4 linked regions of the Oreochromis niloticus genome follow. The protein of the gene in region 3 purifies or fractionates together with the protein of the main gene of each other region. This does not show direct contact. Links are inferred from orthologs where the notes say so. Each region holds a gene or a part of one and is shown on either strand. Other genes may lie near its edges.

The links.
Region 1: the proteins of napab (region 3) and use1 purify together in Homo sapiens (affinity purification with mass spectrometry; 3 studies listed by BioGRID and IntAct, counting the BioPlex papers as one, with this or other methods). This does not show direct contact. The link is inferred for Oreochromis niloticus from reciprocal best matches to the Homo sapiens genes NAPA and USE1.
Region 2: the proteins of napab (region 3) and vps45 purify together in Homo sapiens (affinity purification with mass spectrometry; 3 studies listed by BioGRID and IntAct, with this or other methods). This does not show direct contact. The link is inferred for Oreochromis niloticus from reciprocal best matches to the Homo sapiens genes NAPA and VPS45.
Region 4: the proteins of napab (region 3) and napgb purify together in Homo sapiens (affinity purification with mass spectrometry; 3 studies listed by BioGRID and IntAct, counting the BioPlex papers as one, with this or other methods). This does not show direct contact. The link is inferred for Oreochromis niloticus from reciprocal best matches to the Homo sapiens genes NAPA and NAPG.

Annotation. Positions count from the first base shown.
Region 1 is NC_031986.2:44,592,912-44,600,029, reverse strand, and holds the start of use1 (vesicle transport protein USE1), read right to left. Parts: upstream 3,001-7,118; 5' UTR 2,943-3,000; coding exon 2,844-2,942; intron 1-2,843. Other genes in the region: unconventional myosin-IXb, read right to left, coding at 6,852-7,118.
Region 2 is NC_031985.2:38,208,354-38,215,896, forward strand, and holds the start of vps45 (vacuolar protein sorting-associated protein 45), read right to left. Parts: upstream 3,009-7,543; 5' UTR 2,858-3,008; coding exon 2,765-2,857; intron 2,659-2,764; coding exon 2,524-2,658; intron 2,438-2,523; coding exon 2,377-2,437; intron 1,942-2,376; coding exon 1,862-1,941; intron 1,044-1,861; coding exon 975-1,043; intron 838-974; coding exon 700-837; intron 469-699; coding exon 358-468; intron 132-357; coding exon 1-131. UniProt on the Homo sapiens protein: May play a role in vesicle-mediated protein trafficking from the Golgi stack through the trans-Golgi network.
Region 3 is NC_031979.2:33,407,371-33,414,353, reverse strand, and holds the start of napab (N-ethylmaleimide-sensitive factor attachment protein, alpha b), read right to left. Parts: upstream 3,003-6,983; 5' UTR 2,854-3,002; coding exon 2,756-2,853; intron 1,341-2,755; coding exon 1,261-1,340; intron 1,154-1,260; coding exon 1,037-1,153; intron 1-1,036. UniProt on the Homo sapiens protein: Required for vesicular transport between the endoplasmic reticulum and the Golgi apparatus. Together with GNA12 promotes CDH5 localization to plasma membrane.
Region 4 is NC_031982.2:24,895,131-24,902,158, reverse strand, and holds the start of napgb (N-ethylmaleimide-sensitive factor attachment protein, gamma b), read right to left. Parts: upstream 3,014-7,028; 5' UTR 2,902-3,013; coding exon 2,846-2,901; intron 2,661-2,845; coding exon 2,593-2,660; intron 2,483-2,592; coding exon 2,398-2,482; intron 1,305-2,397; coding exon 1,287-1,304; intron 1,202-1,286; coding exon 1,171-1,201; intron 1,073-1,170; coding exon 963-1,072; intron 1-962. Other genes in the region: rab12 (ras-related protein Rab-12), read left to right, coding at 6,102-6,330. UniProt on the Homo sapiens protein: Required for vesicular transport between the endoplasmic reticulum and the Golgi apparatus.

The sequences.
Region 1 (7,118 bases), on a different chromosome or scaffold from region 3:
GCAGTGCAAGAAGAAAGTGTTTGACAGCTGTCAGGGTCGTACTGACTGTTGTTACTTTAGTTACTCGAACCTTTCATCTACTCTAAAAGTAAAAATCAAGCAGCTGATTGGTTTATCCTGCTGGTTCAGATTAAAGGGTCTTCACTGCTCAGCTGTAGGGAGCCACTCGGTACACCGTGACACGAGGTCACCGAGAAGAGGCGTTTGGATTTATTCAGTCCCAAGTGGCCTGGTGACGCCTGTTGTTACTCGTTTGCGTTAAAGCTGCAGGTCACACATTTAAATCAGCTACTGTTCCTTTAAAGCTGCTTATTGTTAATTCTTGGGTTTAAAATGGTAAATGGTAAATGGCCTGTATTTATATAGCGCTTTCTAGTCCCTAAGGACCCCAAAGCGCTTTACATATCCAGACATCCACCCATTCACACACACATTCACACTATTTAAACCTCATAAACTAAATTAAAGCTTTCAGTGGAATTTAAACAGGCAACTGCTCTGAATTTAACCCAAACACATGTGTGCTGTGTCAAAGATAAAAGCTGCACTTTGTTGTAATACCACTTTGCACCACAAGAGGGTGCAGTGTGTCACTGTAACCTTTATTTAAAAACAGGCACGTCTGTATTTTAAACGACAGCCTGGCAAAAGAGGAGATCTCATGAGGAGCGGTTACTAAAAAGAAACCTGTTAGTAGTGCTGCCCCCTAGTGGTCAAAGTTTTAGTAACAAAAGTTAGCAGTAATTTCCCTTCACCGAACAACCACAATCACATCGTCCATGAAAACAGCAGTACAAATCTTTACGTTATAAAAGTCTCATATAGCAACTCTATGCATTTATGTTTCCCAGCAAAACAACACAAGCCGCGTAATTAATTGAAAATAAATCAAAACCGATGTTCAGAACCCCCAACTGATGTGATCTGGTCCATGTCATTTTTTTTGTTTTAAATTTAAATTCTGTTAACATTTCACCCAATGAGAGTTCACGCAGTTACGTGCCTCCATGACATGAAGCATGATGTAAAAAGACCTCAACACAGTTTCAGTGTCCAAAGGTAAGACCACCAATCTGTTTCAACAGCTGGAGCGCGATCACAATATCGCAGCTTTAACCGCTGAGCACATTTACAGGTCAAACCCTGTCAGCAAACTATGGGGGCAAGAACAAGTAAATAAAGGAAACTCCTTTGTTAATGTTAATCGAGGTAAAATGTTCAACTACTTGTTTTGATTTGAGGCCCCGCCCAAGCATATCTGAGTACGAGAGCAGTGTGAGGACTTAATAAGGGAGCTACTCAACAACTTCACTGCTCTGCAAAATATGAACGAGAGCTGTTCCTGATGAAGGTGGCAACAACAAACATGTTTCACCACTAGAGGCACAAACACTACGAAGGAGGAGATGCTAGGAGCCGGTGTCTTGGGTTCGAATCCAGTGTGGGGCCTTTCTGTGTGGAGTTTACACAGCACAAAGACATGCATCTGTGGTTAACTGGTGATTCTAAATCGGGCCAGTCCCCTCACCCATCGGCTCTACGATCTCTACTGCCTACTGGTTAAGACTCAGAGATCAGATTAGTTATACAGGGAGTCGATCCAGACTCCCTGTCTAGGGTGTGCTGGTTCCACAGATCAACAGTGTGGGTGTGAGTGGTTACCTGTCTCTCCATGTAAGCCCTGTGACACACCTCACCTGGCCAGGATGTGCCCTCCTTAAGAATTACAAGTTTAAGTTACTTTAGTTTAACAAAAACTAAATTTCCACAGAAAACTCGACCCAGAGTATTTCACTGCAACTCTGCGGCTTTCAAAGGAGTAAGGAGTAAAGGAGGCCATTTATGTGAAAAAGGAAAGACCATCTCTGAACCGAGGAGGGGGCCTAAGAGTACGTCTTTCACCTTTCACCTACCATTCCCCTGTGACCTCTGAATGGTTCTCGCGCCCACCATCAATGATTATGACAATAGTATATTAAAGATCATGAAACTTGGCTGGTGCTGGTTTTGGATGATATGCAAATGTTTAAAGGGCTGGGGAAAACTGCAGCGAGGTGAGAATGAGGAAGAAGTCACAGGTGAGTGATGAATTGTTTCTCCCACTGAAAACAAAATGCCCAGATGAACAGAAACAACTTTCTGGGACTACCTGGAGTACTTGTGTGCTTACATTTGACTTTTGCTGTGTCACTGCTGCTGCACTACAACACTGCTGCTTAATAAAAGCCACACTTTAAGGTCAGCAGCTCACTGGAAAAGAAGAAAGGATGGGTGGATGGATGTCCTTCACCCAACATGATGCGCACTATTTTTCATAGCATAATAAGTATTATCGCAAATATTTCTCTAAAATATCGCGATGTAATTTAGAGGCTGCATCACACCCCGCTGGTGCACATGACCTGACTGCAGCTCCTGACTTAACTTTCTATAAGGCAGCAGAGGTTGGACGGCTGGAGGAAAACTCGGGTTGTAGCTGATTCGCAGCCGATCGTTTTTTAAAAAAATGCTATAAATAAATAAAGTTACTGTTAAAGATATGAACATACGGAGGATCTTCTGCGAGGAACATAGGTGAAAGGAAAGCTTCAGAAACGAGATTAAACACTAAAATACAGCAAATCTGGAGTAGCAGACTGCGCAGACTCGCCGTGTGTCGCTACGGTGACATCTCGGCTATGATTGAACCTGTGCGCGAGGGGTGAACAGCTTAAATGTGCCTCCCGACACCAAACAGAAAGGTTTAGGTGACGACGTGGCTAACAGCGGCTCACAACAACAACAGTCAGGCTAACGTCATCACGACATGGTCGTTACAGCCGCTCCGAGCCGTGCCGGGTTACCTTTTCAAGCCTCCACTCCGTCTCTCCCCGTTTCTCCGACGCCAAAGACTCACAGCGAGACAATAACCTGATGAAATTGATTTCTAGTCGGGAAGCCATGTTTGGTTTGAAGCCGCACAGCGGCGCAGCAGTTTGACGTCAAGCAGAGCGGCGCAGACGTTATGGGCGGAGCGTCGCCCGCCTCTTTTTTTTTACGTCGTCATTGAAAATTTCAATTTAAAAAGCTAGACTCATTATTATTATTATTATTATTATTATTGTTATTATTATTATTGTTGTTGTTGTTATCAATAAGATCTCGTTAGACCCCAAAGTTTTATCTTAATCTCTTTCTCTCTATTCGAGAGAAATAAAATAAAATAAATATAAAACACACCATTCTGGCACGAAAACCACAACATGTCTGTATGTAGTACTTTTTTTATTTATGTATGTTTTGTATGTGTTTATATACAGTTCTTAAAAAAATACTGCCATAAAAACACTCAAACATAACCATTTTATGTATTTGGGTAAAACTAAAAGTTATATTGTTTTTAAAATTTTATTTATTGGGCAAATAAAAAACTAAATTCACTTTTTTATACCCCAATTTGAGGCGCCATACTGGACTTCTCTGAGAGTCAAGCACAACGTTCAACAAAAAAAAACAACGATTTTTTCTTTTCAGCAATGCCATTAAACAATAATAATAATAATAATAATAATAATAATAATAATAATGATGATAATAATGATGTGGTTTGCTGTTTTTCAGCTTTTTTGTAAAAGATAACATTAATAAAATGAAAAATATCATTTTTGAGTGTCAGGCTTGGACACACTGGTGGCTCAGCCGTTACAGAAACATAGAAAATGAGTTTGATATTTTCAGTACTGTTAATTTAGGGTAATTGTGGAATAAACATTGCACTGGGTGGTGGCCTGATAGTTTATCAAGTATCCATGTATGCCTATATTGACTGATTATGTTTTGTTTTATAAAACATGGGTTATATTTTGCTGTACGGTATCTATGACACTCAAACTGCCTTACATGTAAACAGATGGAATGAAAGATTAGCACTTGATATAAAGTCATGTTGTGCTTATCACTATACTACAGTGCGTAAAGTATAATAGGCCATTCAGTACACTGTCTGCATCACTTTATTTAGTGGCGCAGCAAAGATGAGTCAGGGCACTCAGTGTTTAGACCTTTTCTTATGCCTATCATCTACAGCTTCTAGAATCATAGCTATTTTTGCAGTGTGGAGCACAGATTGGAGACAGTTGTCTGAATCTTCTCACCAAGGTTCTTATCTGTGGCTCAGACACTTCTGCACCACCAGTGGGCTGAAGTTGGAGCTGCTAAAGGCGTTTTCCAGATATGAGGCATCTGTGGATTCCTGTGGATAAAGTTCAAGAAGGTGGTCTGTCTGCAGTCCGGCAGGTCACATGACACAGCCCGTTCAAATCCTCAGAGCAGCAATTTTAGTCTTCATGTCAAAAAAATAGTCCCAGTCTGTTCAGGCCTTGATCGCTTCAGGACTTTGTTTGCACCTGTTAGGTGGGATAAACACTTTGAACTAGATTAACAAATAATTATAAAGACCTCACATAACTACCACTGCAGCGCCCTTCAACCTGAACATGCCCAGCTGTGAGGGTGGTGCAGAGAGGAAAACAATCATCTATCAATACTCACGTATACCAACCTGCATGGAGGTAAGTGAAACTACATCAACTTTAATTTGCTTAACAGTGGATGGTGTGCAAGGCTGATAAATCACCCACGACCAGGAAGGAAAATGCTGACCGCAGTTCAGGGCGTAAAAATGGTAAAAATAAATGTAACCACTTCAAGGGGCGCATTGCGTGACACTGTTAAAACTCATGTTGGTGTAATTTCCTGTGTGCGGCTCTGGTGCAGCTTTATGAAGTCTGAAGAAATAACTCGTATGACATCACTTGAAAAACAGATCTTGCATTGTGGCAGCTGATCCTGAACTGTGGAGCCTTTGTGTGCTAAAGGTGCATCAATTCCACTCCACACAAAACACCCACAAAATCAAAAACAGTGAGGTCTGTGCAGACGGCTGCAGTTTACTGCGACAAAGAAGCGGCTCATTTAAGAAGACCTGACCCGAGTTTTAATGACTGTTTAATGCAGGGACGACTCTGAAAGACTAAAATTATACCCACCTCTGGGAGTTTTAGCCATCTTAAAGCAAAATGTTAAACATACACACTCCGGCCACTTTATTAGGTACACCTGTTCACCTAGTGGTTAATGCAAATATCTAATCAGCCAATCACACAGCAGCAAGTCAGTGTATTTAAATATATAATCAAGATGACCCGCTGAAGTTCAAAATGAGCATCAAAATGAGCAAGAAAGGGGATTTAAGTGGTTGTTGGTGTGAGGATTTCAAAGACTGCTGATCTGCTGGGATTGTCCCACACAACCATCTCTGGGGCTTACAGATAAAGATCCAAATAAGAGCAAATATCCAGCGAGGGGCAGTTTGATGCTAAAGTTCAGAGGCTGGCCTGACAGCTTGGAGCTTATAGGAGTGCAGAAGATCATCTCTGAACATGTTAAACCCTGAAGCAGATGAGCTACACCAGCAGGAGACCACACCAGGTGGTCTGTACCCAGTACTAGCAACATGTACCTAATCTAATGCAATGAAGGGAGTCTATGGTGAATGAATTTTGAATTTAGGTGCAGTATTTCTAGTTTCATGTTACTACATTTTGTCTGTGCTGAAGGTCCAAGTCAACCTATGAACCTAATTTGGAGCAGACTAACTCCTGGAGAGTTTATAAACGTCCTACAGTTTTATTTTAATAACCCTTGTTTATCACCATCGTCTGTTTCCAGGGTAAAAGAAAAACGTTCTAATTGTGCGTGATGGAAACACACAGCAGCGGACGTTACAAGCATCATGTACTGTATTTTCATGTTACTACTAATAAACATTACAGCTCATTCAGTCAAAGTCACCATGCACTCTGTTACACATCAGAACATCTTCCTCATAATCCAGACAAACCAACATCATCATACATCATCATCATCATCGTCAGCAGTCAGAGAGGAACATTAGTATTACATTTCATACAAAGTTGGCCGGAGCTGTGCTTCAGCACTTTTCTAATAATGGGACTGAGTGATTTTAGAGGAGGGGAAGTTCAAGGACACGTGGTGCCACCGCTCTTGGATCACGGCTGGGTTTGTGTGGGTTTTTTGTCGTTTCTGTGGAGAAAGTGGCGTGTGCTGCTCCCGTTCCCTTTGCTGCATGAATGCAATGATTTCCTATCTGGTGTGTGTTGTGCGGCGGGTAAAACATGAAGGTGAACAGAAAAAGCTGTTTGTTTTTGTGTGTGTGCAACAGTCACAATGTGCAGGTTTAGGTCCTTGTTTTCCACAACAAACACATCCCTCCCTCTACGAGCACCGTTCCATCATCGTGACATGAGAATGAGCTTCTTTATCAAGTCAATGTACAACATCAAGGCACTAGCTAATGTTTCAGCGAGCGAGTTTCACTCACTGGGAGAACTAAGAAATGAAAAGTGCGACTGAAACCTGCAATATTTTCTTGAATTAGCACAAATTTAAAAAAAAAAAAATCATTATGAGGCTACGGGAGGAAACTGCCTCTGGTCCAACTGAAGCAATCAACAGTGAGGACAATATATTAAAAAGATTGAAAAGGTGCTTGGCAACATGTGGTCCAGTCCTTTTTACTAACGACACGTTTGCATTGGCTGATCGAGTTCCCTCAGACAGCAGCAGCTGCAGTTTGTGTGAGCTGGGTTCATGCATGTGGAGCCGCAGCAGCTGCGCGTGTCGTCGCGTCTCTCCTTTCCTTTCATACACACATCAAGTTCCAGCCTCTCCGAGCGCTCTGCTGCCGCCTGCGTCGAATCTGAGAGCGTTTGAATTCGTTTCGTTTGTCTGCTTGCGGGTCGCCGCCCTTAATCCTCTTCGCCGTTCCAGTCGTTTGTGCTCCTCCCTGCTCAGACTTCATCATCCACATACGGGATGTCTGGGTCAGAAAACCGTCTGTGGACATTTGGGACTTTCGTGCCGCTGTGCTGGAGCTGAGGAGTGGGCGCAGCCGTGGAGATGGAAGAAGAGGAAGAGGCGGCTGAAGGAGGACAGGAAGAAAAACGCAGCACCAAGTCGCACTCTGAGCCGTCGAGGTAAAGGGACTGGGTGCTGTCTTTACGGCGGCCGGGCTGCTCTCGTCTCTTGACCGAGAAGGCGGGCGCTCGGCTTCCAGG
Region 2 (7,543 bases), on a different chromosome or scaffold from region 3:
GCGTAGAACTCGTCATTCTCAGCTGACAGGACCACCTCTCTCAGGTCTTTGCTGATCCCGGGGACTCTGGACAGGTCGATCCTGTTGTTGTTGAGGCCAAGCAGCTCGTGGACCATGGCCTGGTATGTCCACTGCAACACAGCGAAAGCTCGTAAACACGCATGCACTTCACACAGACACACAACCAGTGAATTTATGATTTGCTGATTTTGTAGCGGCACACAACATCCATCAAATTAAAGTGACAAATGAGCTGCAGAGGATGCAGTGTAAAAGATGACAGAATTATTAAAAATGTAAAATGATTTCCTTTAATTAATTTCTTCATCGACGTCACAGAGGACAGCGACCAGTCACCTGATTGAGCAACGGCGTGATGGCATCGTCGCTGCGGTCCAGGATAAGCAGCAGAGGAGGAACTTCAGTCTTCCTGAAGTCAAACAGCTCGTACTCCTTCGTGATGATTTGCTGACAACAAACAAATAAAATACTGAAGAATAAAAGTACTACTCAGAGTACTACTTGAGTAAAAGTGTTAACAGCTTGAGGCTCAAGTGCTTTAACCAAAGGGCTCAGGTTACAGCACAGAGGTGGCATCATCTTCGAACAGCCAACAGGACACACGGCGCTAAAATAACCTGTAGTGGCATTAAAAGCACTTTTCAGTGATGACGTGTGTGATGATGATGCTGTGGAAACCTTGACGCTCTCCGCGAGCCGTTTGGACATGTCTGAGGACAACTGGTAGCGGATCATTGGACATTTCTTCAGAGCAAGCAGGACGGAGGTCAATCCCTGAGTGCAGCGTGCCAACATAGAGGGTTCCCAGCTCCGCCCCTAAAAAGCACACACACACACACGCACACGCACACACACACACACACACACACACACACACACAGAGGTGATGTGATTTCAGTGTGTGGAGCTTTTTAGGGTGGAGCTCTGACAGCTGAGGGCCTTGTGGTTCTTACCCGAGTGACTCCCTGCAGGTTCAGGGAGAAGAGGTGAGGATTCACGGCGATGAAGTCTCCGTAGAACTCCTGCAGACACACACACACACACACACACACACACACACACACACACACACACACAGTAAGCTATACTTCTGCTATTTTGGTTTTGATGATGTCACTCAGGTGTATGAACTGTGTTCACACCAAACATGAAGCAGAGTGATGGTGATGCTCACGCAGGGAGGAGGACAGCTTTCCAAGACATCCTATGAATTCTCGGCACAGTTTTGTTCTGTGTCTGCATTAAAATTAAATTTGATCAAACAGCTCGGCCCGACCACAAACCGCCATAGGAAGCTCCTCCTCCATTTGTGACTATCAGTAGCATCAGGAGGATCTCACCTGACATTTGGAGAAATGATGAGAGGCTAATGGAGCACTGATGGTCACGCAGGCCAAACTGGATGTTACTAGCAAGGAATTCTTTCATATTACATACATATACATAAACTTAGCATGTTGGGCTACATGTTACTGATGTCATCAAATGAAGTCGTCACAGAGGAACACTTTCAGCTGAATGTAGCTCTAGTCAGCTGAAACTCTGATTATAAACAAGTATTTATTGCATTATTAGAGGAAATGTTAAATCAGTGAAATAATGATCTGTCCAAAGACTGAACCAGGTTTCCACATGCAACAAGGAGGTGAAGAGAGAAAAAGACTCTGGACTAATATCATTGTAATAATAGTGACGTTGTTAAGTTATCGTGTTGTTAAGATGTATTTTGGCAGTCAAGTTCAGCTAAAAATGAACCGCCATGACTGACAGAGAGATCTTACATCATCAGTAATGTGGAAATATTAAACCCCCACGCTTTCTCTGAGGTCCTGACACTCACCTGGACTTCAGCCACCACTTCCTGTTCATCAGCCTCAGCCAAGGCCTTGATCTCACTCTTACTGATCACGTTGCTAAAGTCTGAAACACACACACACACACACACACACACACACACACACACACACACACACAAGTCAGGTGATGAACTTCAGATGAAACAGACTGAAACAAACTTCTGCCCCACACCTAACTCCACAGAAAAAATCTCTGATATCTGCTCAGCTGACAAATCCACAGCTCTAAGTAGAAAACGACTCACATTTGATGACAGTGTCACTGTGTTTAATCAGACTGGCGTCATTAAAAGCAGCAGGATTCGCTGGTAGCAGGCCCTCATCCATGTGTATCACGAATTTTCTGATTACATCACTGATCTCTAGGATTCTGCAGCAAAGCTAAACTCAGTTGCATATGTTAGCTTCCGAACTATGTTTGAACTGTCCGAGGAAGACGAGTGCCAAACCAGCAACCCCGTTCTCCTCTCACTCCCGCCCTGTCACTGTGGAAACTTACAGATAAAGTAGACACTGTACTTGGGCCTCCTCAGCTCCTGGATCAGGTGCTCCACATTCTCCTGCAGCAAGCACACAAACACACTGTTGCAGATGGTGTTACCTCACACACAGACACACACAATGTTACTCAGAGGGTGGTTTGTACCTTGGTGGGCCGCAAGAAGCAGATAGCTTTAAGGTGCTTCATGTTATCTCTGTTCTGAGAGTCAATCCGCTCAAACAGGTAAACCTCCTTCTGCAGGATCTCAGACTGAGTGTACACCACGCTCACTATACTGGTCTGAACACACAGACGCGCACACACACAGACACCATCAGACACAGTAACGTTGCTGTAAACACTGCTCAGCACCAGCACCGCTAACAGTCCTGGGTCGGTGCCTCACCGTCTCCTTGTCCATGAGCAGCACCTTCATCCCGGGCCCGCTGATCTCGATCATCTTGGAGATGTACTGCTTCACCTCGAGCGTCACATTCATGATAGCGACACTCAGAGACCACAAACAAAAACAAATAAACAAAGAGCAGCGGCTACAGAGAGGGCTTTTCGTCTCTTTACCTGCGGAGCTGCTATAACAACACTGGTGCAAACTTCCTTCCGGGTCCCTGACATCACGTGCCACACGCACTCTGCTTGCGTCATCGGGTTCTGAGAGATTTTTTTAAACTAGTAATAATAATAATAATAATAATAATAATAATAATAATGATGATGATGATGCATGTTGATATTGCCTTTTAGGCTGACATAGAATAACATCCTTCAGTCCGAATTTTAAAATGGAAAAAACATAAATTACACAATTCCACTTATGAAATGCTTTATTTATGCCAAAAACAATAACAACAACAACAACAACAAATACTAGACTTAGTAAACATGTATCTTATTTACATATAAATATATTTACTGATTTCTTTTTACATTTTGTTGGTTGTTGTGTTAGGAATCGCCAAACCATCCTGACATTTTGGGCTGGAAAGTTTAGCTAGATTCCGGAGCTGTTACATTAGAGCCTTTGATGTTCGCCGTTCATGTCTTTAATCAGAGTTTATAGACTCTGTAAATAAAAACAGTCCCAAACCGATTAACTCTGTGTTGCTAATAATTAGCTTAGCATTAGCATGCCAAAGATAAGAAGCATGCTAACAACTGTTAGCGTGCCGACATGAAGCTGAACTCTACTTAAACTGGCAGAGTGTGGTGCTTAAACTGAGCGTATTTATCATCGATAAGCAAAAACATCCGGTTACGAGGAGGAAAACATTTAATAAGCCACATATCAAAACAGCTGCTGTGAGCCCCACGGACAGGTATCACTCCGCTCTGTCTGAATGTAGTCCCGTAACAGCAGCAGCGCTAACAGGAGGTTGTTGGCGGAGGGATATGGTTGTGCTAGCAGGAGCAAACAACATCCCCAACGTGTGTGTGAAGACCACACATTATTCATTTTATTCCTAAAAGAAAAGCACACGGTTCACAGGCGGAATTTTAACGGAATATATAATTATTTTGCACATTAAATGTCCGGATAAGGTAAGCGTCTGGTTGGTATACTTTTTCAGTGGATGTCATCCAGAGTTATTGAAGTCTTTGAGTTAGCAGCTCGGCTAGTTAGCATAGTTAGCTCAATGCTAAGCTGCAGTGTGGAGAGACTGTAGGGAAAAATAACGGTGTATAGATTTGTTCATATCACTCAACTTTTAATAGTTAGAAATCAGTAAGTGAAACGTCGTTGAGCTTTAGCATGCTAAGCTGCAGCTGTGGTTACTGAATGTGTTTTTATTGAGTTTTGAAACTTGCTCATGAACTGAATTTATTAATGTATTTTAAGCTCTGTTGCTTCTGATCGAGTTTAGGGTCAACTAGAACAACTTTGAGCTACTCCCTCTATCAGCTACTAATTAAATCCCTTTGTTGTTGAAAATAAAATATTAATAGGAGCTCCTTATTGATGAAGTTGGCACTGCTAACTTTGAGATAACCACTAGCAGAATGCTCATACAGGGCAGCTGACATATTTATTAATGAAATAGCTTCAGATCTGTGTAGAGCTGCAACAGTAAACTGGGTTAGCTTTTACTGTTTATTTAGTTTTTTAAAATTTGTTTTCAAAGATTTAAACCAAAAGGAAAGAATTTTAGTTTGAGATTTCCTTTTGTGTTCAAAAATAACATTGGTATAATTAGCCACATGCTCTTTGTTAGGAACCCCCTGTGAAATACTTTTATAAAGCTTATTTTGACTGATGTCCTGTTTGAATTGCAGAATTGGTTTATTAGACTGTATTAAAAATGAGGTCTCTATAGATAATCTCCCTGTTCAGAACAACTGTACCTGATGAATGTTTTTATAACTTTCAATTCAATTAAATTAAATTTTATTTATATAGCGCCAAATCACAACAACAGTCGCCTCAGGGCGCTTTATATTGCACAGTAGATCCTACAATAATAGATACAGAGAAAAACCCAACAATCATATGACCCCCTATGAGCAAGCACTTTGGCGACAGTGGGAAGGAAAAACTCCCTTTTAACAGGAAGAAACCTCTGGCAGAACCAGGCTTAGGGAGGGGCGGGGCCATCTGCTGTGATTGGTTGGGGTGAGAGAAGGAAAACAGGATAAAGACATGCTGTGGAAGAGAGACAGAGATTAATAACAAGTGTGATACAGTGCAGAGAGGTCTATTAACACATAGGCTACGTTCACACTGCAGGTCTTAATGCTCAATTCCGATTTTTTGATCAAATCCGATTTTTTTGTCTGCTTGTTCACACTACAAATAAAATGCGACAGCAAACGCGCTCTAGTGTGAACGCTCAAAGCGACCCGCATGTTAAAAAGAAGATGTCACACACAACTCGCTCTGTTTAGACCCAGAGCAAACAATATTGTTTGACTGATGGCCCTTAATATAAAGACTTCAGACTTTGTTTCCCAATTTTTGCTTTAAATTATTCTGTTATTTACATAATAATGTAAATAACCTAATAATGATCCTTATTGCTGTTTTAGAGGAGCGGTGCTTCAAAGGATAATCTGCAGATTATACAGTACAAATAAAATGTTCACGTTGTCTTCCCAACAGTTTCACTGACATCTACACTGGATGGCCAGGAAGCGTTCGCGATGTCTTCTCCGGCGCTGATAATTGGCATCTGTCTTGTGTCAGTGATGTAAAAGACGGATTTAATGCGACATGACCGTTCAAACAGCAGTCGCTTTCTAACACATCAGATACGTATCGGATTCAGTACCACATACGAAAGTGACCCAGATCGGATTTGAAAATATCGGATTTGTGCTGTTCACACTGTCATACCATGATCGGATATGGGTCGCATAGGGTCAAAAAAAAAATCGGATTTGATGCGCTTTCGCCTGCAGTGTGAACGTAGCCATAGAGAGTGAGAAAGGTGACTGGAAAGGAAAAACTCAATGCGTCATGGGAATCCCCCGGCAGCCTACGTCTATTGCAGCATAACTAAGGGAGGATTCAGGGTCACCTGGTCCAGCCCTAACTATATGCTTTATAACTCACCTGTTGAAATTGGATTAAGGCTTAATATTTGCATTTTTAGAGGCATGTTTGACTGATGGGTGCACGCTGACAGAGGTGGTTCTAGCTGCTAGCTGGCTGCTAACTACTGACTTGGACCTCTAGTTTTTGTGCAGGTTTGTCTCACAGGTGTGTCCTTCCACCAGGCAAGGAGATGACAACAGAGGTGGAGAGGCCAGCAGGAGGCACAGCTGACCAGGAGATGAAATGTAATGAAGAGGAGGAAGAGGTCCTGCAAGAAATGGATGATGAAGGTTAAAAACACCCAAACAAACAAACAATTCTGTACAGTGAAATGAGTTCTGCATATGCAGGTTATCCTTCCATTATCTCGATTCACTTAACTAACTGCCATGTCTAAGAATCTGTATTTATCAGATTAGATAGATTAGATGAAACTTTATTAATCCCTCGGGTGGGTTCCTCCGGGAAATTCAGTTTCCAGTAGCAAAGCACCGAAAGAAGTTGCATGTTACAGATACAATAAAGGGGAATGAGAGTAAGGATATAAGCATAAATACACCATATATACACATATATAGATACAGAATATACAATATTCTGTATCTATATAACACAGTCGAATATAAGAAAAAAAACAAAACAAAACAAATATTGCACAGTGTTAAAAAGCACCTACAGCTCAGTTGTTCCCGCCCTCCTTTGTCCTCCTGTTTCCCCTCCCTCTCCCCTCCAGTGAGGAGTTAAACAGTCTGATGGCATGTTGGACAAAGGAGTTTTTAAGTCTGTTGGTTCTTGACTTTGGGAGAAGCAACCTGTCGCTGAACAGGCTCCTCTGGTTGTTTACGACTGTGTGCAGAGGATGCCCAGCATTGTCCATAATGTCCAGCAGTTTCTTTAGTGTCCTTTTCTCTGCCACTGACACCAGAGTGTCCAGCTTCATGCCGACCACAGAGCCAGCCTTCCTGATCAGTTTTTCCAGCCTGGATGAGTCCTTCTTTGCTGTACTGCTCCCCCTACACACCACAGCATAGAAAAGTACTCCTGCAACCACCGACTGGTAAAACATCCTCAGGAGCTTCCTGCAGATGTTAAAAGACCTCAGCCTCCTGAGGAAATACAGTCGGCTTTGGCCTTTTTTATACAGCTGCTGCGTGTTGTGTGAACAGTCCAGTTTGTTGTCCACCCACAGCCCGAGGTACTTGTATGTGGTGACCACCTCCACCTCCTCTCCCTCTATCTGAACCGGCAGTGGACCTTCTCTGGACCTCCCGAAGTCCACAACCAGTTCCTTGGCCTTTGAGGTGTTGAGTTGCAGGTGGGTTGTGTGACTCCATGTGACAAAGTTCCTCACCAGACTCCTGTACTCCTCTTCCTGATCATCCCAGATACACCCCATGATGGCTGTGTTGTCCGCAAACTTCCGAATATGCCATAATTCAGAGTTGTAACAGAAGTCAGAGGTGAAGACCTGTGCTGCTGACCACAGGGTCAGACGTGATGTCCTTCAGCCTGACGTGCTGTGGTCTGTCAGTGAGGTAGTCGGAGATCCAAGCGACCAGGCAGGGGTCCACCTGCATCCTGTTTAGTTTCTCCTGGAGCAGACAGGGCCGGATTGTATTGAAGGCACTGGAAAAGTCA
Region 3 (6,983 bases):
TCCACTGCCGTTTGTTTTACATGGTGAAAAATCTGCAGTAACAGGGAGAGTCTAAACTGGGGAATGGGGTGTACTAGACCATATTTATTTCATGGCTTTTGTAACATTTTTCAGACTGAAAGTGAAATAATATACAATACTGTGTTAATGAAACTGCATTAATAGTTAAAAATAAAAAACTTTTTTTCATTAAACTCTTAGCCACTGCCCTGTGGGTTGTTAGATAGGACACTGAATTATTATTATTAATATTAATTAATGCCTGCACTTTCATAACGCCCTGTTTTCAGCAGTACAAAAATTGGCATCAAAGCACAAGGAAAACTTTAGAATGCTGATATTTAAGTCTCATTTAAAGGCTTACAGACAAACTCACTGCACTACTCACGACTATGAAGTATCGTACGTCAAGTTTTTAATGCCACGTGGTGGCACTCTTTTAATATCTCTAAATCATAGCAGCTAAAATGAAATAATGAGATTAATTTTTAAAAAAAACAAAAAAAATAAAATAAAATTTACTCAAATTCTTTTCCGCTTTTCTTTTATTGATGCAGAACTTATGTGCAGCTGTCATGTGATAAATAAACAGCAGATAGATGGGTGCTCATTAAATAATTAAATCAAATTAGGATTTATCAAAATTATCATTCTCCTGACATGATTACTCTCTTATCTGCAGCCAGTCCTGCAGGTTTGTCAGGTGAAGCAGCTTAAACTCGATGAGTAATATCATAATAATCAAATGACTCATCAGACACCTCAGTTTATGGAAGGACACGTGGAGCAGAAGGAATGAAACCTCAACAGTACTGAAGTACTCAAAGAGTACCTCAAACATGCTCTCACTAATCAGGAATTTCACTGTTTATAGCATTTGTATGACGTTAAAGATTTAATAAAGTAAATAAAAGATTTAATAACATTTTTAAACCATTTTCACTTTCATTATCTAAAGCTTTTATATGAAAAGGTGTAAAACTTACAAGTGTACTTCATCTATATTATATACCCCAAAGTGATGTGTATAGTTTACCTTGTGGATCTGCTTTTTTGAAGGCATTTCCAGCATCTATGAAGTTGGTTGCTGCATCGTGTTTGCTTTGCATCTGCAGGTGAAGGTGAGCAGCTTGGGAGAATGCATTTCCTGCAGCTATTAAGAAGATAAATTGTTGCATTTTAAAATCACTGAAGCACATAGGAAAAAAAGAAAGAGGCATTCAATACATTTGTTGTGTTGAAATGTGACAATCATCTTACCACACCAATTCTTGGCCATTTTGTACATGTTGGCTGCCCTCACCAACATGTCACAGGCTTCTTCCAGCTTTGAGGAGCCACTGTGTGACAAAACATGTTTTTTTTTTCTTAATAAGACATCCATCCATTGCAGATTATCACGGGATGATATAAACACTTCACTCGGTAAAATCCCTTTGGAAAGATGTATAATCAGCTGATTTTTTTTTCTTTTTAGTATACTTACATGCAAAATTTTAGCACCATATTATGAATATTTTAAAAGCAATGGGTCAAAACTTTATTCCTTTTATTATTTTTTTTCTCATTACTTCACATGTACAGAAGCCCGCCTTCTGAAATTTTCAGGGCTGACAAACATATTTAAGTCCGTTTCAAAACAGCGACCAAATCAATTTTGAAACCCACTCTCACACCCAAGTCTCACAATCTAAAGCCAAAATCTAATTTTTGCTCATAATGATTATGGGATATGTTATAATTTAAATAGTACAACTGCCTCAACTGAATGCCTATAACATAGAGGAAGAGGAACAAGGATTGGCATGCGAAATATTTGATCTACTTTTTTTTTTTTTTTTTATAAATAAGTCACTGGTCGAAACAAGTTATAGCGGTCCTTTTCCCAGCCGGCACTCACTGATTTTTCATTGAGTGACGCCAAAAGACCATGTTTGCCTTCAGTGTGCAATCCTTTAAACTTTCTTTAAGTTACTATTTTATAGTGAGGAAAGGTTTGTAAAACCGTTTATTAGTAGAAATATAAAAGTGTTGACTCTGCTTGTGATTTCAGTCCCATTACCCACACACAACTATCTTGACAATTACATTTTCAAGTTTCGCCACAAACCCCTCGCGGATTTTACAGCCTCATACATAACACATAGCCTTTAACCTTGCACGTGAGCTCCTGCTACAATAAAAGAAAAAAATCCAACCTGAAAAATTAACCTGCATTTAGGTTGTTATATGCAAAGCCCGTTGTACAGGTTAGTGAGAGCTAGTCTTACATGCACTTTCGCTACATCACAAGTACGTTTTCTTCTTTTGCTGTAAACAAATGTGAATGACACGTGATTTGGACTGAGTGGCCTTCCGAAAACTGCCCAACAGACGGCGCTATAGGGGAGGCGCTGCCTTTACAATTAAGTGAAATTATCTTAAAATGTTAAACAATTCAGCTTTGGGTTCAACTGAATCTATTTCTAGCATGAAAGCTGCCTTAAAGCGGAGTCTAAAATGAGCATGTACCGACTATTTCCAGCTATCTTTCACACTAAACGCTTTCCAGTTATACGACGAGCCGAGAAAAGGTAGCTATGCTAAACGACAGCCTTGAAAATAACCGCATAATAGTAACTACAACTTATAAAGGCAATCAACAGTTATTTAAAATCGTTTTGTCCTGGCTTTTAACCCTTGTGGTCAGCTCCCAACCTTCCGCATAGCTGTCTCCTTTAGCCAAACGTTAACGTTAGCTAGCTGACAGACTCACCCAAACAACGCTCCAAAAAACGACTGAGACGATTTCATTTTCTTTTCAGCCTCGGCCATCAAAGCATTTGCTTCCTTTTCTTTTCCGCTGTTATCCATTTTCAGGCAATCGTTCTGTTTCTGAGATAGAACGAATAAATGTAAAAGTCAACAAACTCGCTAACCACTGCTAGTGGCTGCAGGCTAACCTTGTCACATCACCAGCCGCAAAGTAACCATCACCTCTGTCACGTGACACAGGAGCACCGACGCACTACTGTTGCTGCTGGTGCATTCAAGTACTCTTTTGCTATCCAGTATATTAGTCATATCTGGTAACCGTTAGAAGTTTTTTTTTTTTTTAAAGTTACATTTAAATCTTCGTATGGTTTTAGTGTAGTTATTGACTTTGTTTCAGTAAACTGAGCTTTCCTTTTTCTAACTTTGGAATATCTGTTTATTGTCTGGTATGAGCTGGTATGAAAATCTAGAACTGGATTATTCCATAGTCTATCCAGCTAACCAGCTAACAACTACATCTAGTGTTTCTAATCATCATTAATGTAAAGGAGAATACATCACAGCTGTACAGAGACTGCTGTAAAGTTAAGTGGTGTCATAACAGTAAATTTCTATTCATAAAACACAACCCTAAAAATGTATTAAATAGCCTCCTTCATTTTCTCTTTTGACTATAACTCAAACATACAGTATGAATACAAAATATGCATATGTAATCACAAATAGTTACATCAACAAGCTATAATATCCAGCACAATGGTTCTTGGTTTGTGACCAGCCTAAAAATAAATCGATGGATGGATAGTCAGTTCATTAGAACTGCATGTAACATTACATGTTAATTTTTATTAACACACTAAAGTGTTAAAGTGATATCATGTGGTACTTCTCATGGTTTGCATATACCACTGATTTCTTAAATATGTTTTAAAAAAGTTTTAACAAAGAACAATCAAACAGTTCAACATACACAAAGCAATTAACACCACCCTCTTACCCCCACAAACACACACACACCTGACAATTTTACTACACAGTAAGACAATCAAGGCTTATTTAGAAAAATAAACTAATACATGAATAAAAAAAACCATAATTATTATGGTGGTAATGAGTAATTAAGTAAAACAAGTAAAAATAAAAACAGTTAACTGTTCCCCACAAATTCGAGTGCACTGCATGCATGTCTTCTCAGCGTAACCAGTCAGCAACTGCCATCAAGTTGTAACAGAGTTGAGGTTATTTTCTAGGGGCATACAATCTGAAAAGAAGTGACCACACACTGAGGAATAACTCTTCATTTCCTTTTATTTTCCTTCATTTCCATGCAAAAGGAGTGTTAAAAAATAGTGATAGTTGTGGTTTTATTTGTAGCAGCTTGTGACAAATTCTCCTGACATGATTACTCATGTGATTTGTGTCTTTTTTGTGTTTTTGCAATTACTTTTGGCTCTGTTTAGCAGTGCTCAAACAATATTATTGATATGGACCATATAGAAACGTTTGCACACTATAATGCTGAACAGCATACTTCAGGGTCACCACATTGACCAGGTGAGCAAACCTGATTAGCAGGTGTTGGCAGAACACTAAACATTGTTTGGAAAGTTAACATGCTACAATATGCCTTATCGCTTTTCAGTATAACTGTAGTATCCTAGTTGTATATATGAATATTGATTATCAGACAAATAATTCATATCAGATTTGTTGTGTAAACTGGTACACTATTTCTGCTTGCTTTGTGAGCTGTACTAGGCTACTTTGACTGATAAACACTTTATAGCATAGTCTGTGACTAATCCCCCTGTAGCAAAAATTTAATTTTAATGTATTTTATTTGAAATTATAATCCAATTATACTTACCCACAAATACCTAAATGGAGGTACATTAGAATAAGGGAGTTACAAGACGAAGTTTTAGAGGACACAAATAATTAGTAGTGAAAAGCAATGCATAACTTCAGTTATTTTATATTAAAGGATGCACAAATTAGTAATTTTTAGTAGTGCCCTGCTACTGTATCAGGGATGTGCCTTATCAGGCCTAGACGTTTCCAGGTATGTGCTATTTACTTCGTTTTTAAACATCAAGGGTTAGCTTTTCGCGCGATATCAGCTGCAAATCTCCAGTCGTTTTTCCTAAAAAAAGACTTCAGACTTCAGGTTTACGAACAAAAACAGCCCCACAAATTTACTGAGAAAGGTGTTTAAATGTACGAAAAACTTTGCTAAGCACGTCGAAAGAAAAGTTCTGCCACGGTACACGCAGGAGGAATAGATTTCAATCAGGCAAACCGGAAGTCTCCTGTTTCCTGCCTTGTAGTTGGGTCCTGTACAGCAGCCCGTGCGAGGCTGTCCTGGAGACCCCGCGCTGCCTGCACCTCTATCGTCTCGGGTGAGTTTGTTACAATGTAGCAATTTCTCTATTAATCCAAAAAACTGTTACAAAGCTGCAATATTCGCGAACTGCACGCGAGCCGCGAACTGCACGGCTACCGCAATCGAAGCGCCACGCTGCCGCACGAACCGGCGAACATGCTCATTTTCCACCGAATTCCCAAGCATACCCCCCTCATCCAAGAGTATTCCAACATTAACTCATATTTTGCTTACAAGGAGAGATAGCTAGCTACGCAATTGCATTTACGCTTCAAAGCAGACAATACTGCCTTGCCTTTGTCAAATCGAGGCATCGTTGTGCAGTAGGAGTGTTAAAATTGTGTCACTCGCTGGTTTGTTTTGAATGTCAAAGCCTCAAGCTAGCTGTACGTCTCAATATTGTTGATAGCTTGTTGGCTTAGCTGGTTAGCTAGCTAGGCTAACGAAAGTCAACCCAGATGCGTTAAAATGACTGAAAATAGAGGCAAAACAGTGGTTTAAAATTAAACGTTTTGTTAAATTAGAGTCTTAAGTCCGCAGTGTGGCTACAAAATACTCCGTGTTGTGAGTAATAAGCGAAATATACATGCAAAGCTTTTTGAAAACACTAGCTAGCATGTAGCAAGCCGCTTGCAGTGACTCCATTCATATCCTGCGTACTAGCTGCGCTCTAACTGAGCAATGGCTACGATCTGCTGCTGCTTCAGAGCGGCAACTGGGTGTACGGTCGCTTTATTGGTCTCGGTAAACTTGTGGAAGCTGATTTGAGATGTTATTTTCGTGTTGTTGGAAACGAAAGGCACAGCTGGTGTTTTGAGTTGTGGTAAATTCAGCGGGAGGCGAGAGCCCGTTCTCGAAATCTTTGCAGGCGGAGCGAAAACCGCGCGTTTTCAGTTTGTTGTCTATTGCCATCCGCTGTTTTCTCGGATTTTAACAAATATGAGTTCTGCTTGGTCTCTCTATGGGTTCGTTACCACATGGGGATTTCTGTTGTTGATAAGTGTAGGTGTTAAAAGACGTTTAATTTTTTGAAAATCAGTTTCTGTATTTAACTGTAAACTTTATTATTATTTTATAATTTCAGGACCTCATATGTTATTTATCACGTCATGCCTGCTTTATCCTAACAAGACACCGAAATATCTGACAGTGATAGGTGATGTAATGATTTGAGTCATTACTCATAATTTGAATGTTAAAAACACACAGGGGAAAATTGAGGACTTTGAAATTAAAAACTATCGACTGACCTTTTCTGTATATCATATGTGATGGACTTCATAAATGTTTATTAATATGGTTATTAACTAACTATATAGCCCATACTACCTAAGAGTAATTAGAGTGTTTAAATATAACTTAGTCTTTTTGGATACCAAATGACCATGATGGTTAGTCCAGCTTACTGGATAGCTTTGGAAGCAAGAAAAATGTTTAGATTTTTAATGTTTGTGATTTTTCAATAAAATGCATTTCTAGACCTGGTAAAGTGATGCCATTTTTACATTACAGCTTAATCCCTACACTAAACTGTATTTGAATTGAAAGTATTTCTGTATCTTGACAAATTTTGAGTCATAAAGAGTAAAATAATACATTAGTTCAGTTTAAAAACACTCAGAATAAGAAGGTTTTGTGCTTTTAGAGAGATACTGTAAGCTAGTATAGGCTGTTCTTCATCAGTGTTGCACATCGATAGGTAATTAAATGTTAAATGTTTAGTTGTACTTGAATAAATTAACAGGAACGTATCTTATTGTGAAACTGTTTTACTGGTGTGGCTCACTAGAGATCAAATTCAGTTGTATGTGGCCCATTAACTGAATATAGCTTGAACCCCTTCCTT
Region 4 (7,028 bases), on a different chromosome or scaffold from region 3:
AATTGAAAGTCAGTTTCTGAGAATAAAAAGCTACCTTTTAGTATAATAAAGAGGACATGAATATGCATCATGGGAGTAACTATGTGATCACACTTGTGCCTTAGCCAGCAGCTGGCAGCTTATCATGTTAATGATAAAATGACCTTCAGCCTATCTAACACTGTTCAGTTGTGAGATGACAAAATGGGTCATGGTAAATAAACAAATATTACATTTTGGGAATATCGATTCCCAAAATGTGAGCCGTAGCCCCCAGGTGGGCTGCCAAGGAACTGCAGGTGGGCAATGAAGTCATTTACAATAAATCAATTTTATATTATTTACTGCCATTAGATATTTAGAAATAAAAAAAATAGAATGAATAAAGCAATATCGTGAAATTTCAAAATTAGATAATTAATTTTCTGACCTATTTTGATCCTGAACAATCAATAGTAGAAAAACACTAACATGAAGATGGTCCCAGAAATAAAGCTGTTAATGCAGAAGCTCAAATGAATAAATTAAAACACAAAAAAGAAAACACTTGTGATAGTGTGATTAAAGGTTTGGGTGATCCATAGAAAACGTTCATATTTTAAAATGGTAAGGCTCTGTCTTAAGTCTGGGAACGGCTGAGCTACAGAATTAGAATTAAGAGTTCCTTAAACTTCTGCAGCACTTTATCACAGTGAAAATGTAGCTTTTAGTTAGCTGTGGGCATAAATATAATGCTACAATTATCCTGTTCTTGCATCTTTTTAATTACTAAAGAACCCAACAAACCTATTCATCCAATAGCTACAACACTTGTACTTTGGCAGTGAATGTATGGTGCATATAAATAAGACTTTCTCATTAATCAGTTATCGGGCAGACTTCTGAAAGGTGTTTATCACATACATTCATATCTCCATTCCAATGAAAAATGTGCTTAAAAAGTCAGCACTGATCAGCAGAGTAAATTAAAGTATTATTTTTACTTTCCAGCCCGGTCCAGAGCCATGGCAGCAGTGTCTGGTGTCCCGTTCTCCATGTACATCATGCAGGCTTTCTCTATGTACTGGATGGCCTCTGGCATTTTCTTTTGTTCCTGATGCAAACACAGCAGAGTTACAATTGTGCTACTGAATCATTATCTCTATTTGCTTTATTATGACGTCACTGTGGTTTTAGAGTGGCTGCACTCACCTTCATCATCATACCAGCCTGTTCAATAGCCCTGAGGAAAGAAGAGTTTGAGTCAAACAGGTGTTTCCATGTTTGCAGCCACTTCAATATTACAGGTTATTAAGCATGATACTTACTTTGCAGCATGAAAAAGCCTGAAGGACAAGCTAAGGAAACAGCCAAACAAGAGTGAAACTGTGTCATACTAACAAATATATGGCTTACCAATAAATCAGATTACATTCTCCATTAATAAAATGTTAAACCCCTGATACAAACTTCCCACAGTCTAAAGTATCATCTTTGTTTGTCTAAAACACAAATGCATATCAGAAACAATCATATATGAAAGAACGCTAATTCTCATGTTTGACATTTGTTCTTGAAAATTACAAACAATCTGCAGCCACTGATTTAGTTACAGATAGTTCGAGCCACAATGGAGCACATTTAGTCTTCTAAGCTGCTTTAATTCTTCTTAGCAAAAATCAACAAGTTGCTAGAAATCTTCCTCAGAGGTTTGGGTCCTTGGAGACGCAGCAGGATTACAGTTGTTACAAATTTCTGGGCAGCACCTTACAAATGTGATTCTACTGTTCAACTTCGTCCCAGAGGTGCTCTGTTGGATTAAGACCTCCTTCGATTTTTGACACAAGGCAAGATGAATCCATGCCAACGTATAAAGTGCTCATGAAATGAAAACTCATCAGAATCAGGGGTGTAATAATTCTTCAAAGCCAGATTTGTTTTACCAGGGTTTGATGGCAGGGTTTTAGCTCAAATCTTAGTTTTCCTTGAGAGGTTGAATAACAAAATACATATGGGAAAATAATCAGTTTGCCACAAATCTTGTCACTTAATTCTTTCATTATAAACTGATGACATTTCAATATTTCTATGCAATATCTCCACGTGGGTCTCACAGTATGGAATGACAGAATTATAATACATTGTGTATGTTTGTGCCAGAGTCTTTCTGGTCTTGGTTTTAGAGTTTTTACACCCCTAGTGAGAATAACTATGGTACACTGTTAAATCTGCGATAAGCAGGTACCCTGGACCAAGCTATTACAGGATCCAGGGTGCAGGGTTAAAAACGGTTACACCCCCACACTGCCTGCACGCTTTGTGTTTCTGTTGTCTGATTGGCTGATTAAAGGTTTGCTTTAAAGAGCAGCTAACAAAGTGGCTAGCGATTGCACAGAATATATGCAGACTTGTGCCTTTCCTTTGATCGGGAAAGGATACGTTTTGTTTTCTGTGTGGTACTCAGCTTCCTTCAGATAAGCATCCTTTGCTTGTTCATACTGCTTGGCATTCTTGAAGCACACAGCTAGAAACAAAGCACAGAGGTTAGCTCACTGTGAAATTATATATTTTTAATATATAGATTAAAAAAACCCACTCCAGTTTTAAGCACTATAGTGTCGTTTCGTGTTTTACCTGCTTTGGCGTATTCTGATGCAGCACTGTCAAAGTCAGGCTTCCACTTTGTCAGACTCGTTTTTAAGCTGTAAACACACCACGAGGAACAAATAATAAACGAATAATACAACTATAGTGCGATGGATAAATAACCATAAAGTCACTTTATGTCGCATAACCTTTCAACAGAAAATACACAGTGGCCTTACAGCTAGCTAACGTGAGTAGTAAAACTACAGAGCAGGAAATAATCGTTTTTGTCCTCGCTCACCATTTCTCCGCTTTAGCTATGTGCTCGTGCGCTTCGTTTATCTTCTGAGCAGCCATGATGTTGATCGATCAACTCGGTTATGAGGAATATGTTATTGATAAACGACTATGGATGTTGCTTCGTCGATGTTTGGATTACCAGGAACTCCTCCTCGGCCGCAACGTCACCAGCTGTCGCAAGTTACGGATGCCGCATTGGACAAAAAAAACAACAGCAGGGAATGCGAAAATCTGGCTCTAGTACTGTAATGCAGCTAAAGAATTTGCTTTTTGTTTTTTAAATGAAAGACTATACAATCAGATCCATAATGGCACATTTTTTGGCAATTTCCCCTCTGTTCACCACCACAGTGGATTTTTAAATGAAACGATCAAGGTGTGATTTAAGTGCAGACTTTCAGCTTTAATTCCCATCCCAAGGTTTAGGTGTTTACTGTCTAGGGTTTACAAACAATGTAATTTTCAGGCCCTCGCTTTAAAACCAACTCATTTATAAGCTCAGTTTAAAACAACAACAGCCTTTGCTCAAAGTCTGGATTATGAATTTGGAAGCAATCACAAGAAAGTCTGGTGACGTGGGAGTCTGCAGTGTGGTTTCAAATTCCAGAAGTTTCACAAAGCTTCAGTCTAATGTTTGCTGATAATATGTTTTGTAAATATAAAGAAAAATAGAGTGCTAAATTAATGCAGGACTGCAAGGGCCTTAACTTAACCCTCCATGACTAACAGGTCTAACAGAACACCATGACACCACCAGTGTTTGGTAAGGTTGCAGGCACAACAAAAAAAACCACCCACAACTAATTCTGTAACTTTCCATCAGGGAGCGAATAGGCACTGTTAAGTCAGGGCGTGGGCCCATTGATTATCTTCAGTTCACAGTGTATTTATTTAAGTATCTTGTATTCATTCAGAAATTTGCAATCACATACTGGTTCTGTACTTTTTTTTTGTTATTTTTTCGTAGCTGAGGACAAGTGAAGGCGCAGGAGGCTATAGCAACTTGACATAGTGGGCCTCTTTAACATTTTCCAGATGTGTGTGGAGTGAATGTATGGAACCCGTACATGTTAATACCATTGGCAAAGCACCAGATAGTCAGTTTGCCATGCTTATGAGAGCTACGTCAAACTTTATAGGACAGTGCTCTTTTGTTCTCTTTGTCAAACTGCACTTTCCCTTGTGGTCTTTACTGTTTTTTCCTTGCCAAACATTAAATCAAATACACTTGAGCAGAATTCCTGAGAGCTTTATATGACTGTGAGAAAACAGGACAACTTGCATTGATTCTTCACACTTACACTAGATATTCACAGTCCTGTTTGTTGGACTGCAACCTCAAGTCAAATAAAACTTGTACATATCACAAATTTACCTACAGGGGCTTTAAAGGGATCAAGAATCTCAGTTGTGATACAAAAAGAAAACGTTTTTTTTTCATGGTGAAAAGAAAGTATATCTGCCCCCTTTTCTAAGGTTTTACATGTCAGGATATTGCAAAAAAAATGAATTAGTCATTGGTAGGTCTTAAGTTTAAATGAATACAGCTTGAATTGAACAACAAAACATGATGTATTACATTGTGCCATTATTTAAGTAAACGTAGAAACAGTGTGTGAAAAACTGAATGCACCCCATGATTCAGTAGCACCTTTTATAGCAATAGTTTGAAGCAATAATAAAGGTTTGCGGGGCATCATTTTATTCACAGCTCTCTTAAGGTCAAAACTGTGATCAGATTGAATTCCAGACTTTGACTGTGACATTGCAACACCTTTATTATTTTCTTTTGTCAGTCATTGTGTTATATGTTGGGCTCACTCTCCAGTTGCATGACCAATTTCAGTCAGACAGATGGCTTCACAACTGACTTCAGAAAACTTTGGTATACAGAGGAGTTCATAATCAACTCAATGACTGCAAGGAGTCCAGGTCCTGTGGTTATGAAACAAGCCCAATCTGCAGCCGTGCTAACATTTGGTGTGAGGTGTTTGTGCTGATATGCTGTGTTTGGTTTTGCCAGACATGCCACAAGAAGTCTCGTGGTTTATTCTGAGGCCATTTTCCAAACCAATGCCGTGCTGTCTTCATTTTAGAGAAAAGAGGCTTTTTCCTGGCAAACTTTCCAAACAAGCTATATTGGTTCAGTCTGTTTCTAATTGTACTGTCATGAACTTTTAACATTGAACATGCTTACTGAGGTCTGTGAAATTTGTAGTTCTTGTTTTTTCTTTTTTGCAAAGTCCCAGAGCCTGTGCTTAATTTGCTTGGACATCCACTCTGAATACAAACTGGCAACTGATATCAATGTTTTCCACTTGTTAATAATCTTTCTCGGTGTAGAATGATGGAATTCAGTGAAATTCATATGGACTTAGAACCTTTTCAAGACTGATGGGAAGCAACAATTGTTTCTGTAAGATCAATGCTGATGTATTTCCTTCTTGGCATTGTGTTAACACACACCCGAATGCTCCAGACTAGCAAACTGCCAAAACGTCTTTTATAGAAATGCTCAGAAGTTGCTGGTGATTAAATAATCAAGGGCACTTAATTACCAGGATCTGACCTCTACTTACCCTCTTAATTCTTTTGGGGGAAGGGAGGGTGTATTTATTTTTACCATGTAACCTCTATATTTTGACTTAATTTTTGTTAAATAAATAATTACAGGGTATAATATGTCATGTTTTGTAATTCTTCTGAGGCTTTATTTACCCAATTGTAAGACCTAATAAGGACCAGATTATGCACTGAAATCTTATAATTGATATAATTGACATCCTCTTATAATTGACATTATAAGAGAATGTGCCCTGTTTTTTTGTTTGTTTGTTTGTTTGTTTGTTTGTTTTTTACCAGAACTCTTATTCAAGATCCCATTCTTTGTAACATGCAGACCTAGTAGGTCTCTCTACATGCAGGCCTAATATTTGGTTCCTTTTTTTATTGAAAACGTTTAATAAATCAAAAAAACATGTAAAAGTAATTCATTCTGATTACAAGTGATTAAACGGTCTCTGTTTATAATTTTAAAAAAATGTATAAAAATGGAAATCATAGCCACCGGAAGCGGAAATGACATCACGGTGGCCCCGGTCTCTAATGGCTGAACAACAACAACTGTCTGCGACTGACAAACTTTCGCAAACTTCATCAGAGACAAAAGAAAGTTAGAGATACCGGCTTGTGTTGCTTCTATAACCGGTTAGGGTTATTTGTCTGTTCGTCTTATAGTCACAAATGTGGGATTACTAATGGATCCGAGGTATGATATTCCACGGAGGGCCGCCGGCGGTGGCGGCGGGGGCTCCGCGAACTCGTCCCCCGCTCTGGGGGCTCAGTCACGCCGCAGGAAGATGCCTCCCAGACCCGCTGATTTCAAACTTCAGATTATCATTATTGGCTCTCGTGGTGTTGGTAAAACAAGTCTCATGGAAAGATTTACCGACGACACTTTCTGCGAAGCTTGCAAGTCAACCGTAGGTGAGGACAGAAGGCATTAAAAGGTTTAGTTTTTTTTGACAACTTTTCATTTAATCAGCTAAAACATGTAGAACGGCTCCGGCTAAATACTCGAGGAGAAATGCTTAAACTACTGTGGGGTGCGCCCAGTGACCATAAATCCTCCAAGTTCACTGGCATAGCGACTAAACTTTATTTCTAATGCTAGCTGTAGCCCGCTAGGTATGTTGATAACAGTATCTTAGCCAGTTGACCATGGTGACTGAAGTAACAATAGCATTTCCTTTGACTTCAATCACATGAACTAGGTTTCCTTAAGCTTTTTTTAACGTTTGCATGTAGAGATTTTAGACTTCTGCTAAAGGACAGCGTTTTTATTAATTAAATACGAATGAATAATTGTACTTTATTACTGTTCTGATAATATTTGCAGAATATTATATTATAGGTATTATGGGTCTGAATTACTATGTTTACTTCTAGTTAGCCTGTTTTGGTTATGTTAACCAGGAAGTAGTCTTATCCAATACCACCTTGATTTTACTGATGTATCTCTACACAGAGAACTAACATGTTGCATATTTCTACATAAAAACACATTCTTTAATTATTTGATTATTTGACCACTGGTATGTTTACTTACTGAACACGAGATTGCCTTGTGACAAATTGCCAGTCGTGTTTGCAGATTAAAAATATACATGAGATCTGTTTATACA